Linked DNA regions of Lonchura striata. The protein of the gene in region 4 interacts with the protein of the main gene of each other region in a pairwise test. Links are inferred from orthologs where the notes say so. Each region holds a gene or a part of one and is shown on either strand. Other genes may lie near its edges.

Region 1 (6,141 bases), on a different chromosome or scaffold from region 4:
AGGAGCCCAGGCTGCCGCGGGAGCCGCCGCTGTGCTGTCGGATCGGGCTGATGCCACTGCTAGGGCCCTGCAGGGAGGTGAAAAGGCCGACGGGCACCGGCCTCGGCACTGGGCCGGATGTCGCCGCCGCCGGCCGGGCAGCTGCGGCTAGGCCCGCCCCGGCCGTGCCGCAGCGCGGCCCTCCCCCGGTGCGCAGGCCCGGCCGCCATCTCTCCACCGCCGCCCTCCGGCCGGCCCGGAGCCCCGGCTGCGCCCCGGCCCGCTGCGGCGCCACGCCGTCCAGCTCCGCTGCTCCAGGCTCCCCGCTCTCCCTCCGCCCCGGGGCGCTCGGCCTTCAGCCCCCGCTGATCCCCGGGTGCTGCCCCAAGGGCCGCCCAGGTCCGACCCCACCTTTGTTCCTCGCCGTCGAGATGCCGCCGCTTGACTCCCCGCGGCCGCGATTGCTCCGCCAATAGCCGTGCTCACCCACCCCCCGCCCGGCGCACGGACGAGCAGACGCAGCGTGCAGGGCTCCACAGCTACTTTAATAGGGGACGGCGCCACCGGGCGCGGGGCGATGCCGGAGGTCCCGGCGGGACCCGGCCTGGGGCGGCGCGGGGCATCCTGCCGGCGGGACCGGCCCTGGGGCGGCAGCCCGGCGCGGCCGCCCGCTACTTGTTGCCCTCCTTCTTCTCGTTGGCCTTCTTCTGCTTCTGCTGCATGATCTCCGAGTCCCTGCGGGGAGCGCGGCGAGGCTGGCGGCGGGGCCGGCACCACCGCGGGGCGGGAGCAGGGAGCGGGGCAGGGGAAGCCGGCGGGCCGGCCCGGCGCTCACCTCTGCTTGCGGGCGGCAGCCGAGAGCCCGTCGTCCCGCCGCTTGCCCTTGCCCGAGTCGCTCTGCTTCTTCAGGTTCTTCTGCCGCGCCAGTTCGCGCTGGTTCCCGCCTGCCACAGCGCGGCCACCTCAGCGCAGCCCGGCCCCGCGTACCGGCCACCCCCCATACCCCGGCCCGACCACCGCCCGCCGGCGCATCACGGCGTGGCCCCTGACCCCGGCCCCGCCGCACTCCCGGGTCCCAGAACAGCCTCCCACGACACCTGTCAGCCCCAGCCCCCTTTCCTTCCTTCCCCCCAACTCACGGGTCATGGCGCCGCTCCCTCCCACCTCCACTCCACCGCCACGTCCCGCACTGACCCCCCCCGCGCCCCGCCCCGCCCCGCGCTTTAAGGGACGCCACAGCCAATCATTGCGCCGATCCACCCCCCGCTGCACTCCCATTGGCGCGTCTCTGCGGCAAGGCCCCGCCTGATTGGCCGCGGGCTATGGCCTCCCTGCTGCCGGCGGGGGCGAAAAAGCCGGAAGGTTCGGCGCACGCGCCGCAGCCGCCTCCGCGCGACAGGATGCGGAGCGCGGGGGGACCGCCCCCCGCCGTGACGTCACGAGGCGTGCGGGAGCGCTGCCAGGCTGGGAGAGCGGTGCGGGCGGTGCGGGACGGGGCCGGCGCCGTCCCGCCCCTCCCTCAGCCCTCCCCACGCAGATTTCTTCTCCTCCCGCGGGAGTGCGGGGCGATGTGGGGAGGACGGTATGAGAACTCCTCTATCTCTTCGGTCAGGCTCTGAGACGCTGCGGGGCCGCTCAGATCTCTCCTTCCGCCGAGGGCGGTGCGGGGGATCTACAGGGAGGGACGGCTATAAGCGCTATGCGCGCCAAGAGGGTGCGGGACGGGCATCCGTCCCTGCACAGCCCAATTCGCCTACGCACGCGGGGCTCGGCGGCGGTATCGGGTCGTGGCGGGGATTCTGCGGGCCGGTACCGGATGGAGGGCTCTGGCGCTTCGCCAGCCGTGAGAGCTCGGTGTGGATCACCTACGGACGAGGTGCGGCTGCGGTGGGACACCCGACCCACCAAATGCTGTAGGATCCTCTTCCTCCCCGTCGCTTCAAGTACCAGGTGCCGTAGGACCACCGCCCGCCCTCGCACCCCGCCTCCCACACCTTGCTGGCCGGGTCCAGCTCCAGGGCTCTCCTCAGGACGAGCGCCGCCTCTGCGTCCCGCCCCTGCTCTGCCAGAAGCTGCGGGGAGAGGAGCGGACGGTAGCTGGACGACTGGGCCTAGGGGAGCGGGGCGATGCGGAACGATGCGAGTCCCACCTGCCCGCGCCGGACCAACGCCCGACCGTTGTCGGGGCTGATCCGCAGGGCCGCCTCGCAGGCCGCCAGCGCCTCTTCCGTCCGCCCCAGCTTCAGCTCGGCAGCCGCGCAGTTGTTGAGGCACTTCACACGCTGCTCCCGCAGCTCCTCTTCCTCCTCGGGCCCGGGCGGAGCTGCGGGGCGAGTTGCGGCCTCAGCGCCCCAGCTCCACAGCCCCGGGCCCTCCCTTCCGTCCGGTCTCACCGGCGGCGGGGCCGTCTAGGGCACGCAGGGACAGCCGGTACGATCGCAGCGCCGCGGCGAAGTCACCCCGCGCGAAGTGGAAGTTGCCCCGCTCCCTGCGCTGCGAGCCCAGGCGCAGACGGACGGCGGGTAGCAGCGGCTGCGGGTCGGGGCCGTCCCGCACCTCCAGCAGCGTCACCTCGAACAGCAGCGGCGCCTCGGGCGGCACGTCGGGCTCCCTGCTGGTACAGCGCCGGCTGCCCGCGACCCCTGCCCTGCCGGCGCCACCGGCTCTGGTCCTGTCCTCGCCCGTCCCTCTTGCCTGCCCGCCCCGGTCCGTCTGCCCTCCCGCCCCCTGCCCGCTCGCCTTACCTGCCCGGGCGGCCATAGGCGTAGGGGAAAGCGGCGAGGAAGAAGGAAACCTCCCCGGGCTGCATGGTGGGGACGCCCAGCTCCAGAGCCTGTGGACGGGCACGGTGGGGCTGGCGGGTCGGGGCCCACGGCGGCGCTGAGCTCGCACGGCACTGAACCGCGCACCGGTTCGGGCTCACCTGCACGACGTCCCCGTGACCCGGCACGAAGATGAGCCGCGGGTCCCGCTCCACCAGCCCGCCGTCCTCCAGGGCGCCCAGCAGCTTCACGGACACCTCTTGGCCCGGCAGCGGCCGCGGCCCGCCCAGCCCGGCCCGCACCACGCGTTTCCGCAGCAGCCGGTCCTCTGCGAGGGAGGAGGCGCTAAGAGCCAAGCCGGGAGTCCCGAAATTGGCATTCCTTGCTCCACTCTGTCCGGTCCCGGCCTGGGCTGGCCCTGAGGCCCGTCGGCACTCACCCGTCAAGTCGCTCCAACTGTCGGAAGCGAAGAGCGGCCCGAAGCCGCCGGGCCCCGGCACTGCCAGCGCCTCCAGCCGCCGGTAGAAGAGCTGCTCCTCCTCGCGCACCGACGGCACCGCGATGGCGGTGTGAGGCAGCCGGAACCGCACCCGCCGGTCCCGGCCAGGCCTCCGCGGCCGCTCGCCGGCCCCCGTTTCCCTCTCCGGAGAGCCGCCGGGCGACGGGCCCGGCATGTCCGCCCCCGGCCCCCCTCGCCACCCGCCGCTACCTGCTGGCCTCGGTCCGGGCCCACGCGGGGTTCGGCGGCGGGTGCCCACGGCCCCCAGCCCGCACCGGGCGTGTCGCCGCCCGTCCCGCCGCGCCGCGACTGCCGGGGGTTGCCCGGGCCGGGGACACCGCGGAGCGCATGCCGCCGCGCCGTTACCTAATGCCGGGAAGCAGCTCAGGGGATTAGTCCGGGTCGGCGGCAAAAATAGCTGGGCCAGGGCGAGCCCCGCCACGGGGCTCCCGCCGCCCGCCCCGCCCGCTGCTGTCGCGCGTTCCAGGCAATGCCGCGGCCCGGCGTCTCCGGTACCGAGGCTGTGGGCCGAGTCTCTGGCTTATCCCAGCTACCAGCGTAAGAATCACTTTGAATGCCTCCATCCAAAGCTGTCTCATAGCAAAAGCCTAATTCTGCAAGAAGCGAGTCCTCCCAAGCAAACTGTTGCTGCAGTTTTTTCCTTGCTCATCCAGACCTGTCTTTGAAGGAGCGCCAACTGCTCCAGCTCTGAAACACCTGGGGCTAGCTCATTCCCAGCTCCGTGGAGGGCCATGGCTGCATGGGGAGAACCAGAAACAAAGACCCGATCTTTTGCTAAAGCCTGAGCCAACTCGGGGAATGTGTTACTTTAGGTGGTGGCTTCCCCCTTACCCAGGGCCAGCTCTCCATGCAGGTCTCACTGCAAGCAAGGTCTGTAGCCACCCTGTTTGCCAAGTGTTCCAGGCATCAAATATACAAATCCTTCATCAGATGCCTGTTTCTCCTCAATTGAACCTTATTCCTTCAATGCAGTTGTAGCATAGTGAGGGTTATCTAGGCAGCCACCACCACAACCCTTCCTCATCCTCTGTCCCTTCTGCCAGAAAGTTTCCCTAGGCCTGTGCCAACTTCACCCAGGCTGCTCTGAGCACCAGCAGTGATGCCCTGGGCCAAACATGCTGAAGAGTTTTACCTGTGTTCAGTGCCCCAGCTGCCACCAGGTCAACAGTCACAGAGCAGGGAGCAAAGCCAGGATTAGAACCACGTCCCTAGCTCTCCTTGGCTTGATGGAGAGCACTGTCCTGCCCAGCAAGGAAGCAGCATTCCAGTCTGGTGTAACATGGGTAATTGCCAGCTGTCAGGGGAGCTTGCTGTGTTCCTTTTCCTTGCAAGAGTGCTCCAGACAGACAGGTGCAGGGCTCCTGCCAGTCTGTGCAGGGACCACTGGACATCACATGCTCCTCCAAAGGTGCCTAGACACCCGCATGCATTAGGGGCAGAGCAGCTACCACAGCAGCAGAGCACAAAAGGGAAATGTGGTTTGAGATGCTAATGGAGCTGCAAAAGAAATTGTACTGCAGTTACTGTAGTCAAAGAAGTACAGCCTAAGCCTTGCATGAGCTACTGTATTTGGAAAACTCCAGCACCACCTGGGCTTTGAGCTGTGGGGGAGGAAGCCACAGAGAAAGCAAGCTCTGGTTCTTGCCATATTACCTGCTGCCATGAAGCAATACTTTGAGTGTGCTGACCCTCACTTCAACTTGCATTTAGTAAAGGAACACAGAATCAGGACAACAGCTCCTACCTGGTCCGCCCATCTCTTTCCCGCCCTTCCCCAAAGGAAAGCGGAACACCCTCAGATGGTCAGTCACAGCCCACACCACATGGTCTACTCCTATCCTCCTGAAGAGAGACCCACAGCTACCAGCCTGTTTCTCAGCGTGAGAAGGAATAGTTAACTGGTTGTATTCGCTCTCACCACAGCCAAGCACTTGACTGTAACAAACACCCTTGGCCCTGGCCTACCTGTGTTTGGGTAGAGGCTGTAGATAGTAACACTCCTCTTATACCAAACTATTCGTGCACCAGCTTCAAAGCTGATTTTCTGCTGCTGATGAGCAAGGCCCTTGCCAGTTTGCTCCATATGCCTGCACTGCTGCAATCCAACAGTCACAGTGAGCACCATGTACCTCTGAACTCGCTAGGGCAGCACACAGCAAAGGCATTTGTGACCACAATTCCCCAGTCCAAAATGTGTGTAAATACAGCACCCAAAGCCCAACACATTGGGATAGCTGTTGCTGCTACATTCTGGAGGGGCTTGGGCAGCTAAAGAAAGAGGATAATGGGCTGAAAGCAGGGGCTAGGAGGGCTCACTGTAGGGAATAACTTGCAGCAGGAAGCTGCTGCCTATGGAGAACAGGAACCCATTGCTAGGTCTGATGGGTTGCCCCAGGACAGGGACATTTGGTCTTAAGGGGGTCATTTTATTGTTTCACTTCTCCAAATGTACAAAAAAAATTAGAAAATAACTGTACCCCCACCCCTCTGAAACCACAAAACAAACCTGGGGAGCCCCACAACAGTGCAGCTAAGAGACGGCAGGAAATTAAACATTACTAGATACAGCAGCTGGGGCTCCTCTGCCCGCATGGCCACTGGCTCTCCACAGCCCAGAACTGGCCCCTATCTGACCAGTGTTTCCCCGATTCATATAGAGCTCCTCCTGACAAGGTGGCAAGCAGGTACTTTACAAATCCTCCTTCACCTTCTTCTTGGATTTCTTGGATTTCTCTTCCTCCTGCAGCACAGGAGTGTTGGTTGCCTCCCGCTTCAGGTAGCTGATGAAGTCACTCACTTCTCTGCCCCCCTGCAGAAAGCAAGTGACAGTCAGGCAGAGCTGTATCCACCATGGACTTCCCCTTTCCTGAAGGGGGGTCA
Region 2 (7,860 bases), on a different chromosome or scaffold from region 4:
AGCCCCCAGAAATATTTCTTACTCTTGGGACTGTTACAGCAGCCTCCTGATCTCTCCATACAGAGCCTGCTGCTCTGTCAGACTTAAGCAGCACTTGGGAAGCGAGAGCAGCCACTCTGGAGCCCCGGCCAAGCATGATGGCAGCTCAGGGGTGGGAGCTCAGGGGTGCCAGCTCAGGGATGCCAGCTCAGGGACGGGAGCTCAGGGATGCCAGCGCAGGGATGCCAGCTCAGGAGTGGGAGCTCAGGGATTCGAGCTCAGGGATGCCAGCTCAGGAGTGGGAGCTCAGGGATGCCAGCTCAGGGACGGGAGCTCAGGGATGCCAGCTCAGGGATGCTCGTGTACGAGACTCGCAGCAGAAGTCACAGCCTGGCATGATGCCACAGCCCTGCTAACGCAGAGCCTGGCTCTGGGCTCACAGCCGGAGCCACATCCAGGGTCACACCAGCCTTTTTTTCCAACGCATGTGGCAGATTAAAGAACAAGCACCCTGCCCTGAACTCTGCATATGGCAGAGAATCACACTGGCAGCTACCAAGGGACCAACACGGCTCCTCCATCCCCACGGAGCCCTTCCACCCAAGTGACAAACATCACTCAGCAAAGCCTCTGGGCTGGATGCTCCACTGGAAAACACCTGCAGTCACGGAAAAAAAGGCAGTGGTGGTGGATTTGGATGGTGGTGGCTGAAGAAACTCCCAGCCAGGCTGGCAGCCGGGACAGAGGCTCATTTATCCACAGGCTGTCACACACAGTAACACTGCCCATTGGTGCTGTTTTCAGGCACCGTGCCCCACATGCAGACACAGCAGCTCACAAACATCTCCACTCCCAACTCAGAGGTCCCAGGTAACCAGGGGATGAAGCCAATGTGCGCACAGCACTGAGCAGGGCAGGGCCAGCTCCTGCCTCACATTTCCACCCAAAATTCGTCCCTGCGGGGAAAAGGTGCTGCCATACTTTGTGGGACCCACAGACACATCCAGTCCTTGCAGGGGCAGCTTTAGCAGCAATATGCCAGTGAGCTGATCCCTGCACACTTGTGAATGAACCTGGAAGCCCCTAACAGCCTCCAGGAGTGCAATTCCAGGCTCTAGACTGCTCACCTCCACAGAGAATCATCTCTTCTATTTAAGCAGCACTTTCAAATCTTGCTCCGAAAACAAATCGCAGCCTCTTGTGCCAAGATGTTGTTTTCCCACACGCCCATCCCGCAGGATCGGCACTCACCGCCCTGCCACGGCGCTGCCAGGGGCGGGCACAGGCACGTCCCTGTGCCGGGATCCGTGGGGTTTGCTCTGGGGCAGAGCAAGCCCCAGCCCTGCCCACCCCGATGCAAACTCCCTAAAAGCTTCCACCATAACTCGCTGCTGCTCCAAGCTAACAACAAAGTCTGTTGGTAATGGCCAGGGGAGAACCAGGTCAATCTGCTTCTGCCTCCACATGCCTGGAGCAGGGGATCCCGCTGCTCCCACCCGGAGCCACAGGCAGCAGAAAGCGCTTTTGTGCAGCTCTCTGAAGGTCCTTTCCCTCCGAGCCAAGAGTCCCGTGGAGGCCGCCAGAGCCTCGGCTGCGTTCCCAGCTCAGCTCCTCGAGTCCCGGTCCCGGCACGGACGCTGCAGCTCCGGGAGCTCTGCGAGGAGCCGGGGCACACGCAGGGTGCGCTGGGCACGGCAGCGGCACAGCCGGGCCCGGCGGGGCCGAGCACCGCTCCACCGCCCCCTGCCCCGCCTGGGCCGCGCACCGGGGCCACGCCGCGCACCGCAAACCCGGGCCAGGGCCGGGCACCGCAAACCCGGGCCAGGGCCGGGCACCGCAAAACCGGGCCAGGGCCGGGCACCCCAAACCCGGGCCAGGGCCGCGCACCGCAAAACCGGGCCAGGGCCGGGCACCCCAAACCCGGGCCAGGGCCGGGCACCGCAAAACCGGGCCAGGGCCGGGCACTGCAAACCCGGGCTAACACCGCTCACCCCACACCCGGGCTAACACCGCTCACCCCACACCCGGGCCAGTGCCGCTCACCCACACCCGGGCTAACACTGCGCACCCCAAACCCGGGCTAACACCGCTCACCCCAAACCTGAGCTAACACCGCTCACCCCACACCCGGGCCAACATTGCTCACCCCACACCCGGGCTAACACCGCTCACCCCACACCTGAACCAGTGCCGCTCACCCCACACCCGGGCCAGCACTGCTCACCCCAAACCCGGGCCAGCACTGTTCACCCCACACCCGGGCTAACACCGCTCACCCCACACCTGAACCAGCGCCACTCAGCCCCACACCCGGGCCAGCGCCGCTCACCCCACAGCCGGGCTAACACCGCTCACCCCACACCCGGGCTAACATTGCTCACCCCACAGCCGGGCTAGGGCTGCTCAGAGCCCCATACCCGGGCCAGCGCCGCTCACGCCCAGGTGCTGCCGCAGACCCCAGACCCGCACACACCCGTGGGGGACCCACGCCTGCACCCCACGGTGCGCGCACCCGGCGGGGACGAGCCGGGGTTACCGGCACCGGCGGGTCCCGCTCGGCGTGGGAACCCCAGCCCCGCGCCGGAGCGGGGCCGCGCCGGGGCCTCGGTAAAGTTCCGCTCAAGAAGTTTCCCTCCGAGCCTGACCCCTCCGGGTGGTCAGCGGGGCCGGGGTTCCGCCATCCCCGCCGCCCCTGCCCCGCTGCCCGGCGCCGCCGGGATGGAGCGCGGGGAGCGGCGCCTGCCCCGGGCGATCATCCGGCCCCGATCCCGAATCCCGGGGCCCTTCCAGCGCATCTCCCCCCTCCCGCAACTTTCCTTAGCCTGCAACTCCCCGTGTCCGCAGCCCGGCCCCGCGGCCGCCGGTACCGGCAGCCCGGCCGCCCCCGCCCGCCCTACCTGCCCAGCCGCCCGGCTCCGCCGCCGTCTGCAGCATCCTCCCGGCGGCTTCTCGCTCCCGGCCGTGCGAGCGCGCTCGGGGAGGAGGAGGAGAAGGAGAAGGAGGAAGAGGAGGAGGAGGAGGAAGGGGGGGGATGAAGGCAGCTCGCGCGCCGCCGCGGTCCAACCCCCCCTCGGCGCCGCGCTCCCGCACGGAGTGGGAGGGGGAACGGCGGCGGCGCATCCCGGTGCTGCATCCCGCAGCTGCATCCCGCAGCGGCGCAGGGGCTCGGGGGCATCCTCCCCGCTCTCGCTCACGGCTGCCCCGGGCTGGGACTGGGGGAACACAGGGCAACTCCCCAGGCTCTTCCCAGGGGCTTTGGGGGTCGGTAAGGTGCGCGGCTAGGAGCGCAAAGGGAGGTGACACCGCGGGGCTGTGGGGAGGGCACCTGAATTTCAGGGTACTGAGATGCCGTGTGCGACCAGCGCCCCGGAGAATGGCGGGTCAGGTCTCAGGACGAGGGTCTCCAGTCCCGCACCCTGAGCGGCAGCAGACAGCCCGGCTCCCCACGGAGGTGGCATCGCCGGGGGCTGCAGCTCTTTGCGGATGGCAGAACCCCTTCTCCGACCCTGGCCCAGCAGGGAGGGACAGAACCTCGGGCAGAACCTCCGAGAGGCTGAAGAGGAACCGAGGGCGGGATGGAGGGAGGGGGCCTGCCCGGAGATGCTGTTTGCTCCTCAGTCAGCGCAGCGGGAGCGCACGGTGCCGCCGGGCAAAGGCGCCTCTGCTGCCATGCTTAGCCTTGTGCTAAGATCAACAATTTTAAGTGCAAAAGTCTGAGCTGGCCTGTCGCTGTCATCATTGTTAATATTTTAGCAGCTCCCAGAACCTTTCAGCAGGGCCACACAGTGCTGACACAGGAGAGGAGATATAAAAGCATCCTGCTGCCCGCCCCAAGGAATACGCTGTCTAGACACGTTATATAATCACATTTTGCCCTCCGCCAGGACACTTTGCAGAGGATCTCAAAGCACTTCCCAAAACTGCTAATTGAACTTTGGAGCCCAGCTGGGAGGGAAGTGCTCTGGCCGAGAGCTCTCCTCTGGAGCAGGTACCCAGGGACTCCTGTCTGCCAGAGCAATTGCCTGCTCACTGCTTTGCCTCCACTAAAACACGGAATTGGTGCCAAGAGGCAGAGGTGTGATCGGCCCCGAGCTGCCGCTGGCAGAGGCTGGAGGCTGCAGAAGTGGGGCAGAGCACGTGCTGCTCCAAACCCCTCCGAGCCCACAGGTGCCCACACCTGCAGGAGGCTCCAGGGCCACCAGCTGCCAGGGAGGGAGAAGCCAGGAGCGGGGAGTCCCAGTTTGAGCTACTTCTGGGTCTGGAGATCCTGCAACACAAGCAGGTGGCCCAGGAGCAGCAGATCCTACCTGTCCACACCAGAAGTCCCTTGCCCCGCTGCTGTCAGATTCAGGTCCCCAGGAGCAGCAGTGTGGCACCACTGAGCCTTGTCCTGGCTCACCATAAATCACTTTGGCTTTTCAGAGCCCTTTTGCCAAAGCTCAGTGCATTTGTTTGCTGTGCCATCTGATTTTCACAATGTAGGATGGGTTTTTTTTTTCCCTCCCTATAAATAATTACAGGCACTCTAATGGATCTCAAACTTTACTGTACCTTGGCTGTCAGGAGCTTGATGATGATGGTGTAGCCTTCTTCTCCAAGGAGCAGAGGCAGGGCTGGGGCTTCTCCACACATTTTTCATTTACTTTAAGCCTTTCAGCCTCCTCCTGCCTCCAGCAAAATGCAGGAAAGGGACTGTACTCCCCTGCCAGGTGTGGGGATCAAGAAGTGCAGGGATGAGGTGAGGGCTGACCCACAGCTCCCAGCATTCCAGCACTGGGGAGTGTGGATGCATTCCTTCCCCTCCATGCGAACTCTGGCTTCCCTCTTCCAAGGGCAGCCCTTCATCCCTAAGACACTGTTTGTGCCAAGACCACGGTCACCCTCAAACATTTTGGTTTGCTGCAGATATCTCCAAAGCCGAAGACAAAACTCGAAACAAAGAGAAGGTCATCTCCAGCTGCAGCCCCCTGAAGTGCCGTGGGACAGAGCAGCAGAAGGCACAGCACATCCAGCCCCTCCATCACACTGTAGTTGCTCACAAAATTTCTCCCGACCCAGTTCTCAATTCTGTGCAGCAATTTTGTGCACTTGAAGCAGCAGAAATGAGCCTCTGAGGAAACAGGATGGGGTGCTGCCAGGAGGGAGGGAACTGGGAGGGAATGGGCACTGCCAGGAAGGAATGGGCACTGTCAGAGCAACACTTCCTCTTTCTTCATGCCTCTGGAGCTCAGCAGCTCTGCTTCCAGCAAACAGGGAGTTTTACAATTAGACCAATGCTCTGCATCCTTTGGCAGCTCTGACATGCCCCCACACAGGGAGGTGCTGGCACTGCCCAGGGACACTGTGGTGGCACCTCTCCAGTGGGACAGGCGATGGGTAGGTGTGACAAGCTGTCCCAGACGTGATGCTTCGAGACATTGCCAATCCCAAATGTGGAACCACAGTGTTACAGTGAGCTCATGGGCACTCTGTGCCCCCTTTCCCAGGACCCTGTGACTCTGATCAGGATAACCCTGGACCCCTCCTTCCTGCCCTGACAGGGTTGGCGGAGAGCCAGGGAAGCCCACCCTGTCCAAATTCTATACAGACCCCTGACATTTCCTGTTCGTTCTCTTTTGCCCTGCTGTCCCTATGGACATCACAGAATAAAGAGAGCTGAACCAAGTATTTCAGGAGTAAGAGCCTCTTTTGGAAATCTTTGCCATCTCCTGATATTCCTCCCCTCACAGCCTCGGACCTGTGGGCTAGCCTGATAATTTAGGGGGCTGAGAGGGGGGAAACATCACCACAGGACCCCAGGGAAGGAGGATTCCTTCCTGCAACACCCACAGGGGTCCCACAGCACCAGCTGGCTGCAGTGCCCATCTCTCCAGGTGCAGTTGGAGCTCTCTCCTTCCTCGGCCAGCGCCAGGCAGAGCTCAGCTGCTGGGTACAGAGGCCGTGGGAGACAGAGGGCAGAGGAGGGGCTGTGCTCAGGGGCTGAGCCAGCCAAGGAAGGTGAATGTGGGGTGGTCAGGCCCAGCACCACTTCCCAGGAAGGCTCTGGCTCCTCGGCCACCGCGCTGAGCCGTGCCAAGCTGCTCCGGCAGCTGCCGTGGCCGTTCAGCAGCTGTTGAGCTGTAATTGCTCATTGAGTCATAATTTATTTTTTTTTTCCCAGTGAAAGCGGCGCTGTCAGGGAATTAAAATCTTTTCAAAAGGCCATAAAGATTTCATAAACGCTTCAGAGCCAGATCAGGGGGGGTTTAGCACCTTCACAGCCAGGATCCAGGGAAGGCAATGAGGAGACCAGAAGTGGAACACTTGACGGCCGTAACTGGTTAAAGGAACGACAGCACGGGGCAGCACCAGCCCACGGGGAGCTGAGCAGGCTGCAGTGCCCCTGCCTGCAGCCTGCTCAGGGCAGCACTGCTCCCCAGCCCAGCCTGGCTGCAGGGGCCCAGCTGGGCTCCAGGTGCCTCAATTCACCTTGATTGCCAAGACACGCTGCTGACCTGGCTGTGGGGTGTGGGATGTGACACCACAGCAGCTCCAGAGCCAGGAGAGCAAAAAGCTGACGTGAGGGGACTGCAGCTGCACCAGCCCCAGCGTTTGGCTCTCACCTGTTTCTCATCAGCTCAATTAGCAGTGACCCAGCTATGGCCAGATGGGAAGTTCAACCCCACAGCCAGCGTGGGCGAGGGGCACTGACCCCACAAACACCCATGTTTGAATTCAGAGGTGTCCTCAAAAGCAAAGGTTTGCGTTCTGGAGGAGCTGTTGTAGACATGGAATAAGGTTTTGCACTGCTGCAGCTCTTCCCACATCAGCAGATGTTTGCAGGTGACGGAGGAGCCACGTTCCCACCAGCAGCCCCTGTGCCAGCCTGGGCACCTGCTATTTTTAGTGTGAGCCGCCTTTGATGGTCTCTCTGTGAGCTCTGCAAAATATCTGGGCCAGGCAGATGCAGCTCCCACAGCCCCACTCTGCCACAACACACATCTCAGGGAAGGACTCGGAGATGCTGGATGAACTCAGCTGGGACCCCCGTGCCCTGAGGGATTGAATGGGCAGAAGCTGTGCCCCCCCAGCCCCACAGAGCTGGACTTTTGCACCCCAGGATCTGCACAGCCACATCAGCAGGGCAGTGTTAACCCTCACCCTAAACCTAAACCTCACCCTAACCCCACCCCTGGCACCGGGCACCGTGGGCAGGACACCCCCATTCTCTAACTGGGGTGCAGAAACAAGAGCACAAATGGGTCAGAGCTGAGCTCAGCACCCATTTGGGCACCCATGGGTGCAGGAACTCCCCCACAGCTGCAGGAGGAAAAGAGGGACTCCCTGCACTGCTCTGGAGCCTGCTGGCCCCAGCACCTCTCACCAGCATCGGGCATCGCTTGGAGAGGCACCTGAGCCACAGAGGCACCAATAAATCATCGGTAGGGGAGAGGCTGCTGTTATTTTATGGCCGTTGTTATTTCCTTCCTATTGTAACTTTTAATTAAAATCTACAGAAGGCCGATAACTGCTTCCTCTGCATAATTGCAGGGAGTAAATTTTATTATATAGGAAAGTGGTTTTAATTTTTAATGGACTTATTTTTAAGGAAGAGCAACACTTCGGAGGGATCTGTGAGCCCCAGTAACATTATCAAAGGCAAGAAGAGGAACAAAGATGGGTTTATTACCTGTTCCCCATAAAACTGTTATTTTAGGGGAGTTTTGTGCTTCCTCCTAATGAGAGATGAATTGCACCAGCTTCATTTGCTGTAGGAGGAAAATTAAAATGAAACTGATAAGAGCCAAGCCTCTAGCTCCTGACTTACCTCCCAATTATAAATGAAAGCTCACAGGCATTCCAGAGATGGGGCTTGATGTCTACATTAATTATAAATAAATT
Region 3 (8,004 bases), on a different chromosome or scaffold from region 4:
ACTGTTTTAGTGACAATATTTTGCATTAAAAAGATGGAGTATAATGCTATCTTTAGACTGCAATTAAATTTCTGGGGGTGTTGGTAATTAACTTAATGCAAATCAGAGATTTCAGGCAAAGCCCTTTGTTTAGCCCAAAAAGATACAAGCAATTATTGAACAAAACTCACTCTCCTCATCACACGTAAGACGAGGTAGATGGATACAGCCTAATTGCAGGGAAAAGGGACCAGCAATTAACACAGCTATGCTGCTGCTGAGGCACTGTGATGAAACTGTGAGGTTTATAGTATTGTTAATGCTCACTAATGCAATCTTCGGGTTTTGCAACAGGAGTCTTGACTGCAGGCACATCAACCCAGCCTAATTAACTTTAAATTAGATTTAAAAGCATACGATTTTTGCACAAGTTGGTTGGTAGTTGAGATTTTTTTAATTTAAGCATTAAAAAATAAAACAGTATCGACCCACAGGTTTCCTTTCATTTCCTTTCCAAAAAATATACGTTTATCATTACCTTATCTGTCTTAGTGATGCTGGATTATTGGACAGTTTTCCCACCTCACTTCAGGACACAGTGAGGGTAAGCCGCCATGCACTGTCAATGCCAGAGAACAGTAAGCTGCATCAGAAAATAAACATATTTACAGTCACACTTCCCTAGAATGACACAATTCACATCCATCTTTCACTTTAGAACATCTTGGTGAATATACTCCATTTTAAAAGCCCTTGCTTTATCCATAATGTAACAATCAGATTTACACTTTTGAGTATTGTAGAATTTGCATTGATCTAAAAGAAATCTTGAACAAGACTTACAATTTTGTAATAGAAGATTATTTTTTTTAATTTTCTAATGGCATGTAGGAATTCCTAACAGGAATGTATTCCTTTCCAGGACTAAGATCAAGAGATGATTTGGCATACAGAACAGTCCAACAGGGAACACACGTGGCTCCTCCCTCTGACCCCATGGGTGAACCCTCCTGGCAACTCCTCTCTTTCACATGCACAGCCAATTTCAAAAATCCATAATCTGATTTTTAGATGTTTCACTGCTAACCAGAGGAAAAAAGTAGGTTCCCCTCTATTCACATAAAGCTGGGCTTCCCAGCTCTCCTCTTTCAACTCAACTGGAAGCAAACTGGAACATACAGGACGAAGGCAGAGAACAAGCAAACCCCAGAGAAGACACAGAGGTACTCTCTGGTTCTCAAAGGCTGGCAGCTGCTTCCCTCATCCTGAGTATGCAGTGCTCCTCTTTAAAAAGGGTTGTTCCTGTTTCTGACAGTGACAGACTGCTGTGACACGCTAAGCAGGGGAACAGGAAGAGACTACTTTTCTGCTGCCTCACTCATGTTTTATGAAAGGAGTAAGGCATGAGGATAGTGCCCCTTTCACCCCAGAGCTGCTACAGCTCCAGGTACGTTTACTGCACTGGACAAATACAGATAAGGCATGGAAGAGTGGTTGAACCAAAGAGTTCATTTAGCTACCCCCTCACATTGTTTAAGCGTTAGTCTGGCCAGTGGTTTTGCTTCTTCAGCATTACAACATATGCTACTCAGAAACTGCTAACAGTAAGAATTGAACCTCATCTCTATGTCCTAAACATAGACACATTTTGGTGGACACAGCTGAACTCCTGTGGCCTTTCAACAGATTGAATGTATCGTTCATTTCTTTGTGCAAGGAAAGGAGCTACTGTAATGCCTTATTTAGCAGCATTACCCACAGAAACCTGCTATCCATCACTGACTACGAAAAGGTAGCAGAATAAATGCACTTTTTCTTGGTCTAGCTGTTCTCCACTCTGCTTGAAGGTGTCCAGATTTAAAGACACAGATTCTAAACATTGCAGCTGCTTGCAGCTGTTACAGAAAACTGTGTGAAATACTGAAATTGCTGAATTACACAGCACTGAAGCTTCTTCCCTCACTGTGACACAGCTGAATGGATGACTCCATTGAGACGGTTCTATGGAGAACACATCCAGAATGCACACTAATGAGCTTTTTAACAAAATCAGTGTCTACTTTCCTGGGCCGGGGAGGAACCAACCAACCAAAAAACATTTATGTCTCCGTCTTTCAGACTACAGACTGCTTCCCGTAAGAATCACACTGACATCTTTCTAACCTTCCTGGTGTACACTGGCATTTTGCAGGTACAGCCCTTTCCTCCCGGCTCACTTTCCATTCACATCATGCACTGATCTAAGTGCTGCATGGGGACAGGGATTGCCCAACCCGGCCCAGTCACTTCAGGATCCCCTCTGAAAGCGGCATCTCAGGACCATGCTGTATCTCACTACCCTCTTTGCACAGCAGCAAGAAAAACAGCCTTTCCCAGGCGAGGGAAAGACAGGCATTCCTGCCGCAATCTTTTCTGTCAAACAGGGCTAAGCATCAGGGTGCCGCCGACAGGAACACGAGCAAGCAGGACTGCCTCCCAACGCCGCCCGGGACAGAGCCACGACTTCTCCCAGGACAAGCGCGGGGAGCAGAAGGGAGGAGAGCTCTTTTCGGTTTGCTGCCGCTGCCGTACGGGCAGGCCCGGCCCGAAGGGGAGCAGAGATCACAGCCGGTCCCGGCCCGGCAGTGAGGGCCGGCAGCCCCGCAGGAGGGCGGCCGGGCGCCCTCGGCCGCGGGGCCGTGCGGAGCCCGCGACCCGCCCGCCGGGCCCTCAGCCGCGGCCGCCCCGCGCCCTCAGCCGCGGCCGGCGGCACGCCAGGGGTCTCCCGGCCGCTCCGCCAGGGGCCGCGCCGCCCGCCGCCCCGGGAACGGCGGGGCCGGGGAGGGGGCGGCCGGCTGGCCCGGCCCGAGCTGCCCCTCTGTCCCTCCTTCCCGCCGCTCCCGCACGCGGTGCAGCAGCCCCAGCTCTCTTACGGTGGCTTCTCCGCCGTCCCGCCGGTGCAGCCGCCCCGAGCAGCGCCGCGCGAGCCGGCACGGCCGCCGCCGCCCGTACGTGGCAGGGCAGAGAGGAGCGGCCGCAGCGAGGCCGGGCCTGCCCAGCCGCGCCTGCGCGCTGCGCCCGCGGGGCGCCCCGCCCGGCACGGCGGCCGCGCCTGCCTGCCCGGCCGCGCTCCGCCTCAGCGCGTCCGGCCGGATTCCGCCTTGGCCTCCGCAGCCTGGCGGTGCTCGGGGAGGAACGGGGCCGTAAAATTCCCCTGGGCTTGTTAGACGCCCGTACACAGCAGCATTCATCCTCGAATGGTCCCGTCCGGGCACTGGTTACTCCCGCGGCCGCGCGCACCCTCACAGCCTCTCACGCTGCCTTGCGGTCAGAGCTTGTCCCCCTAAGCGCGAAAAAACATGGATCTGCAGCGAGGCTCCTGAGATTTGTCAATGGGAGATGCGGGAATGGATCCCTAAGGGTGCCTCTCCCAGAGCTGCAGGACACTCGTGGATATTTGGGGTTTCTGGTTTAGCCTGTCCCAGAGATGCTGGAAGTGGAGAATACACAGAGATATTTGGGGTTTCTGGTTTAGCCTGTCCCAGAGATGCTGGAAGTGGAGAATACACAGAGATATTTGGGGTTTCTGGTTTAGCCTGTCCCAGAGATGCTGGAAGTGGAGAATACACAGAGATATTTGGGGTTTCTGGTTTAGCCTGTCCCAGAGATGCTGGAAGTGGAGAATACACAGAGATATTTGGGGTTTCTGGTTTAGCCTGTCCCAGAGATGCTGGAAGTGGAGGACACTCGTGGATATTTCTGGTTCAGCCTGTCCCAGAGCCCCTGGCACTGGGGGACACTCAGGGGTAGTTGGGGTTTCTGGTTTAGCCTGTCCCAGAGATGCTGGAAGTGGAGGACACTCTGGGATATTTGGGGTTTCTGCTGCCCGTTCTGGTTTAGCAGCAAGGCCGCGCTGTGCTGGTGCTCACTCAGAGCTACCGAAAGCATGATTGTGCTTCGTTATTTCCTGGTGTTAAAGAGTCCTCTGAAAAGACATCTTTTCCTTTAGTATCTGTTTTCTTCCAGGACAAGAACAATTTAAGAGTTGTTTAATTTTTGTAGTATTTGTCCTTGCTGAGAGCTCTGTCCCTGCCTAGAGCAGGGTCCAACTAGCAGTAAGCAGATTTCAAATTCTCACCTCCATTTTCAATGGAAGCAAGAAAAGATGGACACAATACGAATTTTAATTCTAAACATTTCATGAAGGACGAGGGGCATGTTTCATGAGGCTTCTCTGCTAAATGTTACAAAATATTTAGAAAATATTTGGGTATTTTCAATGAAAAAGTTTTTGCTTTAAAGAATGTGGGAAAAATCTGGAAAAGTGGATGTTTCCATCTGTTATACTTTCTGCCACTTGTGTTGTGTACCTTTGTACTGATGATTCAGTCCTTCTCCAATCCATTTCTTTATCAAAGCAGTGTTTCCAAAGTGTTAACAAGAAACTTTGTGATCCCTAAAGCCCACATATCACAAACAATACCAAAGTTCACTACACTATGAAGATAAATATATTCCACGTGTAGATAAAAGCTGAACTATTGTATTTATTGTTATAATCCTGTAACAATTTAGCATATTACCTGAAAAACATCATTTTAATTTGTTCCATTTCTGAAATTAGGATTCCCTACATGAAAGAAAAAAAAGTCATGAAATACATAATTGGGAGGGGTGGGGGGGGCTTTATGCTGAAAGTGTTTTATATTAAGCAAGAGATGTTCAGTGTTGGCAATAACAACATTTTATTCTCATCTGAAATACTTAGAGACAAGATGCTTCATTATTAAAGGAAGTCAACACTTTCAATTCCGTACTTCAAATTCTTGGATTTTGACCTTGTTTTTTGGGTAATATGGAAACAATATTTTTATTAGTTTTTTTAAAGAGCCGTTCAAAATTAAATAGGATGTTCTTTAGGGAATGCTTTTGTTTGGGGAGAAAAAAATATCAATTATTAGAAAATATTATCGCTCATTTAAGGAGTCATCCTCACAGTGCCTAGCAGTGTTTTATAACACAATCAAGTATCATCCTTCCTAAACCACGTAAATTTCTAAAGGGATATTTCTGAAGGAATTTGGAGGAATTGACAAAAGCAAGCATTATACATTCGATTTATAAATAAAAAATGGATGCCCACAGATATTAAATTGTATAGAGAAAGATTTAATAACTTTGTGTGTGTGTGCTTCTAGGAAGAAAAAGGATTCATTAATGAAAAATATGATTAGCACTATCTTTATAGTGGTAGTGCTCAGGATCACCTGAATGATTGGCTACCTCATGTTAATAAGTAATGAAAAAACCATTCTTGCTTTCCGTTTTGTGTTTTGTGTTTTGAATGCTACCCACGTATAATATTTAGCAATTATGAGACTAATAATTGAGATTTAAAAACAAAATTTGACTTATTTGTTCTACAGCTTGATAGAGGGTGGGAACTTGCTAGAAAGCAGTCATAGGGATTCAGTTTTTTTTCATAAACGGATGCTGCTTTGTCACACATAAAACTCTTCCCCTTGTACAAATAAAGGTGGGATTTTATTTCAAGGTCAACACTGAAAAGACTGTTCTTTCTGGGTGGCTTCTCTTATACCAAATCATATATGAAATGATTTTCAGAAAGAATAGCAGGAAAAAGTTCTTCTGCAATAGTTGTTGGAGAGAGTCCCAGGGAAGTAACAAGAGCTTAATGGCTTGAGGCCTTTCACAGGGACACTGAAAAAAGCCTTCAGGAAAGTTTCTGCCTCTTCTTTCCCCCCACAGCTCTGCTGGATTCTTGGCCTTGTATTCCTATAAATGCATCCTTCCATAGAAGGCATATGAAGTACTTGGAGTAATGGATTCTTCATTATTTTGCCTCTGGCTATTTTCTATAAAACAGCTAATTGGAAATACGTGAAAATCCACCCATCCCCAAACGTTAAGTTGTTTATTGTCAGTTTGACCTACTGAAAACTGAGTGCCTGTACACCAGTGACAATCAGATCTGCAAACTCTGTGCAAAAAGTCCTGAGGTGATCATACCACACTGATGGACAGATTACTCCCAGGATTAAAAACTGAAGGTATGAGCAGGAAACAGAGATCCGTTTATTTAAACACATGAGCCTCCTTTTTTTTTTTGTTTTGTTTTTTTTTCTTTTTTTTTTGACTCAAGATTCTCCTGTTTAATTCTTGAAATGAGAATTTAGAAAACCAGTATAGAAATGTTAAAGCCTTTGTTCCTTTGTCTGAATCTGACTGAAGTGCTGATATGGCACACCACATTTAATGCTTATGGCATCCTCAGCCAGGTTTTATCTTCATCCTATCCAGATGAGAGAAATAATATGATCCTGAGACAGGCTCCTGACACATGCTAACTAATCCACTACAATGTGCATTTATAAATACACTGTGCATTACACATGAGACTTTCTGAGTGTCTTCATAGAAGTGTTTCATCAGTCCTGAAAAGTCCTCCATGTCTTGAAATCCATGCTGTCTTATGAGGCAGAAAATAAGCATACTGGAGCATTGATACACCTCTAAAGAGAGCAGTCATGCCAGAAACAAGGCTCCAGAAAAAGTAGAGAAAATCATTAAAAGTTATATAGGACAGGTAGTTCATACTTTTTTTTTTGAAACATTCTCTGAAAGTGAAACATTCTCTGAATGTTTCCTTTCAGTTTGCAGTGTTGCTGCTAACTGCTGTACTGACTTTAGAATGTGTTCTTTACTTAATAAATAATACATAAAAAATAATATCGGGCACTCATTGCTTTTGGACGTATTCAAAGCTCGGGCTGGGAACCTCTAAATCAGGAATTTAAGTCCATATGTGCGATCACCATAACTAAAAGATTTTTTTACTTAGTTGGCAGAAGCAGATTGTTGAATGCTTGATTACTGTGAAAATTTCTCCTGTGGTGCTGTGCCAGGGACCAAGCTATCACTTCCAGTGTTTTATCAGGTCAACGAGAGCAAGCTCAGGTTATACCCGTAATGTGAGCAGCAACAGGAGATTATTAAACCACGTGGCACTAACCCAGAGACACTGATTCTAATTGCTCTCTGCAGATCTCCTATCTTTACAGCTCTCCCTGAATGCACTCTGCACTGTAAAAGCTGCCCTATGGACAACTTTAAATCTTTCCCCATCGATTACTGACGGGGTAGGAGGAAACGTCCAGGCAGCGGCTGCATGGCTCTGAGCAGCACAGGTACAACAGTGCAGGGCTGAGCGCTGACCACGGAACGTTGCAACAAGAAACGGTGCAGCAGGACAGCCAAAACTGCACCGCCGCAGCTGCACCGCTGCAGCTGCACCACCACAGCTGCACCGCCACAGCTGCACTGCCGCAGGACACCATAAATCACAGGCACGTCCATCAAGAAAATTTGCTGCAATTGGGTTTGTATTGAGTCATTCACACACAAAAAACCAAAACAACCGAACAGTAGCACAAGCCAGCTACTGCCTTACTGCCTAGGAAAAGAGAGAAGTGTTTACACATTGCAATAGCAGGGGATGGCGAGGTCCTGCTGGTGGTGGAGCACTGTGACCCATTCATTTATAAAGCCTAGGACTGAGGGAGTGACCTGAGAAGCTCAGTGTGCATCCCAGACCTGGGTACCCCGGGTTGGTGTTGTCTCTGCCTGGCCAGGGCAGTAACAGAGGCGTCACCGAGTCCCAAGCCGTGTTGTGTGATTTAGCTACTTTTGAAAATAGTATTTGCTAGTCAATAATATTGCACTGTGTTCCAAACTAGCTGATTTTAATTGTTTTCCTCAAACTACACTCAGAACAAAATATTGTAACTTAGTGTAAAATACTTGCAGTTTAAAGTCTTCCCTCTTACCTAGTATTTGAAACAAAAGGGTAATAACCAGACCAGCCATGGACAATCCAAACCAATATATGAAATATAATCCAAAGGCTTTGCATATTTATATTTTATCTGAAATGCCCAGAAAACCAATTGTATCAGTTAGATGAGATGAGACGAGATAAATTTCTTTTTAAAGTTTCTGTTTCTGGTTGCACGTAGGAACAAGAAT
Region 4 (7,711 bases):
TTTCATTAGTCTAGTACAGTAAATCAAGAGGGGAAAAAAAAATGGTAAAGTTGGTTTGCATAGTTATTCAATTAATTAGTTCAATATTTACTTTAAGACTATTAATGGATGTATTTTGGATGAAGTTTGCTACAAACTAATTATAACCCTGCATATCAACACAGAAGAATAAGCAAGTATGAGCCTCAGGGCTCACTTAATTACTGCATTAATTATTCAACAATAATTCTAGAAACTTCTCATTAGTAGATTTATGTAACAACTGTCCTATTACAGTTCAGATCAATGAAGCAGGTGTACTAGATCCAAATTTTAGTTTATGTTAATTACATGCTAGAGCAGTTTACAGTATGAAAAATCACTGCCATACTTTCAACTGCAACACAGCAGAGCATGTAGATATACACAGGTCACATAAATCCCCTCAAACCACAGTGATTTAGTGATCAAACCCATTGAATATACCATGATCCCTCTTTCTGAAGTGGTTTTAACATGAGAGTCTGCAAATATGTACAGGCCCACTACACGAACTCCCCACTCTAAGTAAGAAAATGTTATTTCAGTGGAGAGTGGTCTAAGTCAACTTAGAAGGAACTGCCCCCCTCCAAGTATGCAGAGAATAAAACAGCTTTCTAATGTAAAGACTCGCCTAAGCGTTGGGAACACTCCTCTCCTTGTATGAGTATTTTTTTACAATGTAAGCATATATCACATATGATGCAGTAAGCATCACATTTGAGTTTTAAATTTTGTTCTACATAGCCCTTAGTTAATGCTACACCTAACACCGGGAAAAGCACAGTTATATGCTCACACCATTCATCTATACTTCTCCTTAACTTCACGTATACTAAGTACTGTTTTACTTCTAAGTTAATGACTTTGAGTGTTTGTATAAAATGGAGGGAATCCTCTCCAGCACATCAAAGGTTTATGTGCCTCATCCAAGTTGAAACCATTCGGTGCTCAAGCTGTTACCCAAGGACATAAGGGCTTGCTACACAGAACTATGAATTTGGAAAGACAAAGGTTTATGTGCAGAGCAGTGCATTGCTGAAGAATAAAAGGAAATGCTGTTCTAAGATGCACAGTGACATCTGCAAGCATCTGTAAAAACATAATATTTAGAAACTTATAAGAAATACATGCAGGTGCTTTTTCCTGCTTATGATAAGACACAGACACTTGTCAGATCCTTTAAGGAGAGTAAAGGCTTAGCATTAGCCTTTGTCAGTGACACACGGCTGCACCACTAAAGAAAGAGCTCTTCAGACCAAGATGAAAATGCTCCCAACTCTACCTTCCCTTGCTGAATTGTTTCTCTAAGTTTGAGAGACCAGGTGTTTCCTCTTAAAAATAGGAATCACTGCCATGGTGACAGACAAAATCATAAAGGAGCTTGTTAGAAAGCAAGTTAAGTTTTTGTTGATTAACTGTTTCCCTTTCTCACAAAAATAAAGTCAATAGCTTTTGCATCACCCCAGGTGACTTGAATAAGACCTTTGACTTAAAAAAAAAATACCCCCAATACTTTTCCCCATGAGATTGCCAATAGAAAGCAATTCAAGACTGACATATAAACCCTATGAGGACTAGATCAGAAATTTAAGGCTGTATTTGATATAAAGAATCATATCAAATGGAAGCGCAACTAAAATGGCCATAGAGGGTTTCATCCCTTCTATTTCCTCTCCCCTCTGCAAAAAAATCCATCTTCTTTATGATTATAAACATACTTAAACTGCTGTTGAAAATACAATTCCATAATAAATTCTGAAGTATCAGCAACTGAACCAAGAGACCCTTCAAAACAAACAATAAGTATGATAATTAATAAAAATATTGATGTTAGACAGAAAAGTAGTTTAACCTTTGAAATTGCAGTGAAAACAGAAGAGAGCAAGAGAGGTCATTTCATAGCTCCAGAAATTTGTTTACTATTGGTGCAAAAAGCCACTTTAATAAAGTCCAAATATACTGAAGGTCTTGTACATCTTAAAATATGAACTTCTCTATTTGAATTATCTCAGCCAAATAAACGAGAAGATTCTGGAATTTCTTGCATTTGTTATGCAAAATAGCCTGAGTGAATTATCAATTCTTGTTCCTCTTCCAGTGAGTCAGTACTCAAAAGGTCTCAGCCTAAGAGGATTAATGCAGGGAAGATGCTCTTGATAGGAACAAAGCAACAGCTACACAGATGAAGCACGGAGCACGTTTTGCAAGTCAATGCCTTAATTAATTATCTAAGGTGGGAAGAGAGAAAAACCTTAAGCTTATCACAAAAGCAACTGAACAAGGTAAGACTGGTGCAATGTTCACTGCTATTTAAAGATTTTAGGGAATATACAAAGGCAGGAGCATTCTAGGAATTAAGATCAATACTGCAAAATACCCAGAGAAGCTTATGTACTTATTTTAAAAACAAACTCTTGCGTTTAAGAAAATTACTATGGTGAGGAATATACACACTGTAATTCATTGTGTGAACCAGAAGTGTTAGAGGAACAAAAGCCACGGATCTATGAAACATTGTGACAGTTTATTAAATTACACTAAGTGGAAGACATAAACAAAATGTTCTACATGCTTTTCTGCCATCAGCTCTGCTGATGCCAAAAGCTATCTTCTATGAAAAAAGAAAACTCTGAAGAAGTGTCAAAAGCTTCTAGCAGCTAGGTGTACAGAGTGATCTTTGTAGGACAGTTATGCAAATTAAGGCTTAAAGCTTTATTCTCTACTGTAGGTTTGGCCATTAAAGTGAAGAGGACTTGCCAACTAAACAAATACACATGACTGTGTCTCTCTTTTTTCCCTGGTGATTTTTATACAGTTATAAATTACAATTTAGCAGCAAAAAGAGGGAAGAATACCTTAAAATCGATTCCTCCAACAAAGACACGATTTGGAATAACTGTTCCAGACCTTGGAGAACTGATCAGATTATTTAACCTCACCGGTGACGCAGTGTTGGGACATGAAGGTAAAGATTCTGTTTGCATCTGATCAGTGGCCTGATGATTCAAAGAAAACATTTTCAAAATCTTACACGTTATTTATCAGTAAATGAAACAACTCTCAACAGACAATACATACAGATTTTTTCAGAAGACACAGCAGATGCTGAACATTTACCATGTATTTTTATTCAGAATGTAGTTCAGTGTTTAAACACAAGCTCAATCTTAATGAATTCAGTAACTTAGTGAATACGCTATGGTCTGAAGTCCAGTGTTAAAACCTCTTCTAAACTGGACATCAATCTTGGTTCAATTTGCAAAGCACCCTGCTGCATAAATTTCAGTTATAAATTCTATTATACAATAGATCTCTCTACTAAAAGTCCTTATTTTAAACCTATATAGAATGGACATTTTAAACTCAATCTGTACTCTCACACACAGCTGTACGACTATTCTCTGCAACAACCTCCAGTTCATTTTCCAAGTGCAGAGCACCCATAATTCCGCCACATGAAATCAACAAGCTCCACACACCCAATGAGAACAGGTCCTGAAGACTGGTATTTTAATTCAACACCCTGTTGGCCTACAAACACATCACACAGTGGTCTGAACAGAAATTCCCTCTGCAGAAGAGCAACCAGATTGCTCTTGCCCCAGTAAAAGGATATAACACAATGGGATGTCATAGAAACCATTATTTGGTGAAGCCTGGCTAATGTTTTAACTTCCAGCATGCTTACACTTGCGAATCATGAAACAGTTTAATTGTAAACTCTTTTCAAAACAAAATAATACTGCCTTACAAAGTCAATCCTAACTGTGTAGACGATAGCCAGAACGCAGCCATGTAGTATTGTCACTAACTTCTCAAACAGGATTATTTCAGTTACTCCTACTAATTCTAAGTAATGGGTTAATGCCATTACTGTGGATATCTTAAAGACAATAAATCCAGCTTAGTTCACACAATTTAAGTTTTAGAGAAGACACAAGTCCTTTCTGAATGTACGGAAACACAGACAGAGGAAAACCTGAGGTTGTTAACCTGGTCTGCTCAAGAGAATCTAGTATGCACCTCTCCTCCTGGGAATACTACTCTAGAGTACTAACCTGAACAAACCCTACCTCTAGTAGGCAAGGAGCCAACACAGTCACTCCCCAGGAGGACTCGCTTTTGCAGCAAAGAACTCCTGAGGGACAAAGCAGGTTACATTCTCTACCTCTCACACCAAATACAACACCCCAACTGCACGATGATCTGGCAACTGTCTTTAGCACAAAAACTTCCAGATTCAACTATAACAATTAGCAGCACAACTGAAACGTACTCCTTACTTCAAAGACCCTAAACTGCATTGTCTCTGTACATATTTTAAGAGTTGATATATTAAAATAAGGCAGAAATGCAAATACCTCAATGGAAGAAATGAGGAATTAATCACACCACTCAGGAACTCACAATACTGTAAACCACAGTGGGTTTTAAGTGTTATGTGTTAAAATTTGTATTGTGATAACCACCTCTTTATCAACAGTGTGGCAATAAGAAAACAGTATTAAAAAAACCAAATACGTGCCATCAGCACATCACTTACTTCTAAATATTTATTTCTACTGCTCTGTAAGCTTATTTTTTATTAATTTCCCCAAATAATACGGACATATACATTTATCAATATTTTAATCGATTACTTAGTGCATCTGGTTCGTTGGCAGAGCCGCCATATTCATTTTTACACTGAACACACCCACGGTCAGACAACCTAACTCCAGGAAGGGCTGGTGATTAAGCGCACTTCTCTCCCTAAACACCTCTATCTTCCACAGCCCGCGTGCTGCAAGGTCCGAGCCAGACCCCGCTGCCCCGGCACCGTGTCCCGCACACCCGGGGCCGCCAGCGGCTTCTCCACAGCCTGAGGCCGCTGCACACAAAATGGCGGTGCCGCGCGGGCGGGCGCGAGCCGGGGCGCCCCGGCGGGACGGCCCCGCCGCCCTCCCGCCCTCCCGCCCTCCGGGGCGGCTGCCCGGCCCCGCGGCCCCGCCGGGCTCCTCACCGCGCCCTCGGGATCCATCGGTCCTCGCAGCCGCCGCGGCCCCCAGCACGTTCGCGGCACGCGCTGTGCTCCTCAGCTCCGCCTCGCGCCCAGCTGACGCGCACCAGCCGGGGACGGGCCTAGAACGGGCGGGGCCGGCACAGACCGCCGGCGGCGCTGAGCGCGACGGAGCGGCCCTTCCACGCCCCAGCGCCCCTCCGCTGCCTTCCCCTTTCTCAAATCCCTCTCCCCGCAGTCCCCGAGTGCTCTCACGGGGTCGCTGCGACGGGGCGGCCGGGCGTGCTCCTGCCGCGGCAGCGCCCCGCCTCAAGGCCCCGGCGCTGCCGTTACAGCCGCGGCTCGCGGCCGCTTGAGCCGCGGCCCCGGCGGGCGTCGGGCGGCCCAGCCGCTCTGCGCTGCCCTCCCCGCGGGTACCGAGGCGCCGGCAGCCTCCGCGCAGCAGCAGCGGGACAGGAAGGCCTGGTGGACCTCGCTCCCCGGGGGTAGCGCTGAGGAGGGTGCCAGTACCACCCTTCGGAGCCGTGCTTGGAAGCTCTGAGTCAGCCCAGGAACCTCCCTCCAGCGATTTCCCCATCACCTGCGGAGGCAGGAGACAAAACCCAGCTGGGTTTATCTTCCCGACTAGGGCGTGCAACGGGGTGGAAAACAGGGTAAAACATTTTATCTGGCCTCTGTGGGAGAAATACAAAAATGCCCAGGGACGCAGTTACCTGTTACCTGGCTTACCAGGCTGTATTTGCATGGTGGTCAAAACATAGTTTAGACTTAACAGCTATCAACGTGAAACAAAAGTCCTATTTCAACTCAAAGAGTCTTCCTGAGGTCTCCAAAAGACTCTTGAGTAGGCAGACTAGCTTGAAAACAGCTGTGGGTCTGGGATGACCTTGGAGATAAAATTTCTGGTTTGCTCAAGAGAGCTGGAAAATAACACAATAATGACCACTCCCCAAAATACTCCAACTGAAAATATTCTTTTTTCCACCCTCAGTGAACTGGAGGACAAGAATCAATAGTTATGTTTGTGTGAAGTGTACTTCTGTGATCGTTCACTGAACAGCGCTACAAGCTGCTCTCCTGTTCCATAATTTCATCCCACCTACAAATGCATTTGGTCCTTAGACTATCTCTGGTATTAAACAGGTCTGGTAAAAAGAGTCATTCAAATGCCAAACTTATAATCAATGCAGGTACAAATGTGCAACCTGATAAAAACCCCTGATCTGATGACAGCAGGAGCTGGTATGCAGACAAGTGTGTACTGAGAGAACCGTGCCAGTGGAAAAACTGTTTTTGAAAGTGATCAAACATGCACAGGCTAAGTCACTACAGCTCAACTTCAAGACTCAATGCCAGGATCACTACTATCATTAGTTACTCTCATGGTTTATGGGTTTTTTTGTGCTTTAAAATAAAGCGTTCAAGAATGAGTATCTTGAAAATGTCTACCTTATATTTTAGTTGAATTCTAATATTTGTATTTGCTTTATGTACAGTATACCCATCCCACCTAAACCAAACAGCCCTTCACATCATGTAAGTCTCCCTGAGGCACAGCACAGACTTGTAGTCCTTATGAGATTCTGCACTGCTCCTTAATTTTTTGGTGTTGCTACACTACCTATCAGCTTCTGCAACATTAGTCCTATCACACAGAATAACAAACCGCAATCCTAGAAGTTTCTAATAATCCTGTGCCTGTAATATATAAAAATATAATGCTTAACTCTTCCTATTGGTTTTGGGTTTTTTTTTTAGCTAAGAAAATTATATAAAAGTAAAGGCAATTTTAGCAGAGCTGATAAGATTTTTTTAGAAGTACTTTGTGAGATTACAGAACTCTGCTGAGTTGCATTCATTTTATGAATATTTATCAGACAGCAACAAAGCTTATCCTGAGAACAGCACCATATTTTAATGATGTGAAAGGCAGAATAGCCAAAGCCTTTCATTTGCTTCATGTCTTGATTTGGGGAATTTAAAGTGAGAACAGCTGAAAGAATAAACAAACATTCAGAGACATGAAAGTGTATTTTACATAGTTTTAATTGTTGTATCTTCTATATTATACCTCCTCCTTTAGTTAAGAAAACCAAATCTGGGATATTTACATTTAAAATAAGACAGTTGTGACAAAAATAGGACTTTTTCAAATAAATGAAAAATATTGAGCTATTTTTTACTGTGATGCTTTAACACTGAAAATTCAACACACTGATAAATGTAGCAAGATTAGGAGTAGAGCTGGTAAAAAATACTGCCATGCATACAAGATTTGAATATCACAACAAAGGCTGCTGGGCTGCCCTGGTACTGCATGGCTGCTTCATTAAAGGAATTGTTTCCTGGCTGAGGGAGCCACTCTCAAAGGAAGTCAGGAGTGCAACTGGTTTTCCTGATTCCACATGTCAGCAATATATACAGCATGAAATTATCTCCCCTGCTGTTATCTCCCACAAATTAAAAGGCAGTGCTGGACAGGAAAAAGGCAGTAAAAAACAAGAGTCTGACTATGCTGGTTCCTGTAGGTTTTCACCTTTCATCCTTTTTTTTAGCATCAGAGAAAGAGGTTGAGGAAAAATAAACCAAAGAAAAAGCAAGAGAGAAAAACAGGGAGAAAAAATTAATTGGGAGAAAGAATTCTCCCAATTAATTCTCCCAATTCTGGGAAAAGAATTCTCCAGGCAGAAA

Evidence for each region.
Region 1: the proteins of BOLL (region 4) and SERF2 interact in a two-hybrid assay, tested with the Homo sapiens proteins (2 studies listed by BioGRID and IntAct). The two-hybrid records come from large-scale screens. The link is inferred for Lonchura striata from reciprocal best matches to the Homo sapiens genes BOLL and SERF2.
Region 2: the proteins of BOLL (region 4) and ZNF385C interact in a two-hybrid assay, tested with the Homo sapiens proteins (2 studies listed by BioGRID). The two-hybrid records come from large-scale screens. The link is inferred for Lonchura striata from reciprocal best matches to the Homo sapiens genes BOLL and ZNF385C.
Region 3: the proteins of BOLL (region 4) and TFG interact in binary tests that used the Homo sapiens proteins (3 or more experiments, as listed by UniProt). The two-hybrid records come from large-scale screens. The link is inferred for Lonchura striata from reciprocal best matches to the Homo sapiens genes BOLL and TFG.

What each region holds. Positions count from the first base shown.
Region 1 is NC_134613.1:24,446,471-24,452,611, forward strand, and holds SERF2 (small EDRK-rich factor 2), read right to left. Parts: upstream 1,190-6,141; 5' UTR 1,126-1,189; coding exon 1,119-1,125; intron 924-1,118; coding exon 815-923; intron 715-814; coding exon 651-714; 3' UTR 504-650; downstream 1-503. Other genes in the region: peptidyl-prolyl cis-trans isomerase FKBP8-like, read right to left, coding at 1,677-1,844, 1,974-2,051, 2,130-2,302, 2,373-2,590, 2,724-3,069, 3,181-3,415; PDIA3 (protein disulfide-isomerase A3), read right to left, coding at 5,951-6,070. UniProt on the Homo sapiens protein: Positive regulator of amyloid protein aggregation and proteotoxicity. Induces conformational changes in amyloid proteins, such as HTT, driving them into compact formations preceding the formation of aggregates.
Region 2 is NC_134627.1:6,449,621-6,457,480, reverse strand, and holds the start of ZNF385C (zinc finger protein 385C), read right to left. Parts: upstream 3,002-7,860; 5' UTR 2,914-3,001; coding exon 2,877-2,913; intron 1,208-2,876; exon of another isoform or gene 1,123-1,207; coding exon of another isoform or gene 1,107-1,122; intron 1-1,106.
Region 3 is NC_134604.1:438,825-446,828, reverse strand, and holds the start of TFG (protein TFG), read right to left. Parts: upstream 3,013-8,004; 5' UTR 2,892-3,012; intron 623-2,891; exon of another isoform or gene 599-622; 5' UTR 518-598; intron 1-517. UniProt on the Homo sapiens protein: Plays a role in the normal dynamic function of the endoplasmic reticulum (ER) and its associated microtubules. Required for secretory cargo traffic from the endoplasmic reticulum to the Golgi apparatus.
Region 4 is NC_134610.1:28,184,693-28,192,403, reverse strand, and holds the start of BOLL (protein boule-like), read right to left. Parts: upstream 3,012-7,711; 5' UTR 3,006-3,011; coding exon 2,877-3,005; intron 11-2,876; coding exon 1-10. UniProt on the Homo sapiens protein: Probable RNA-binding protein, which may be required during spermatogenesis. May act by binding to the 3'-UTR of mRNAs and regulating their translation.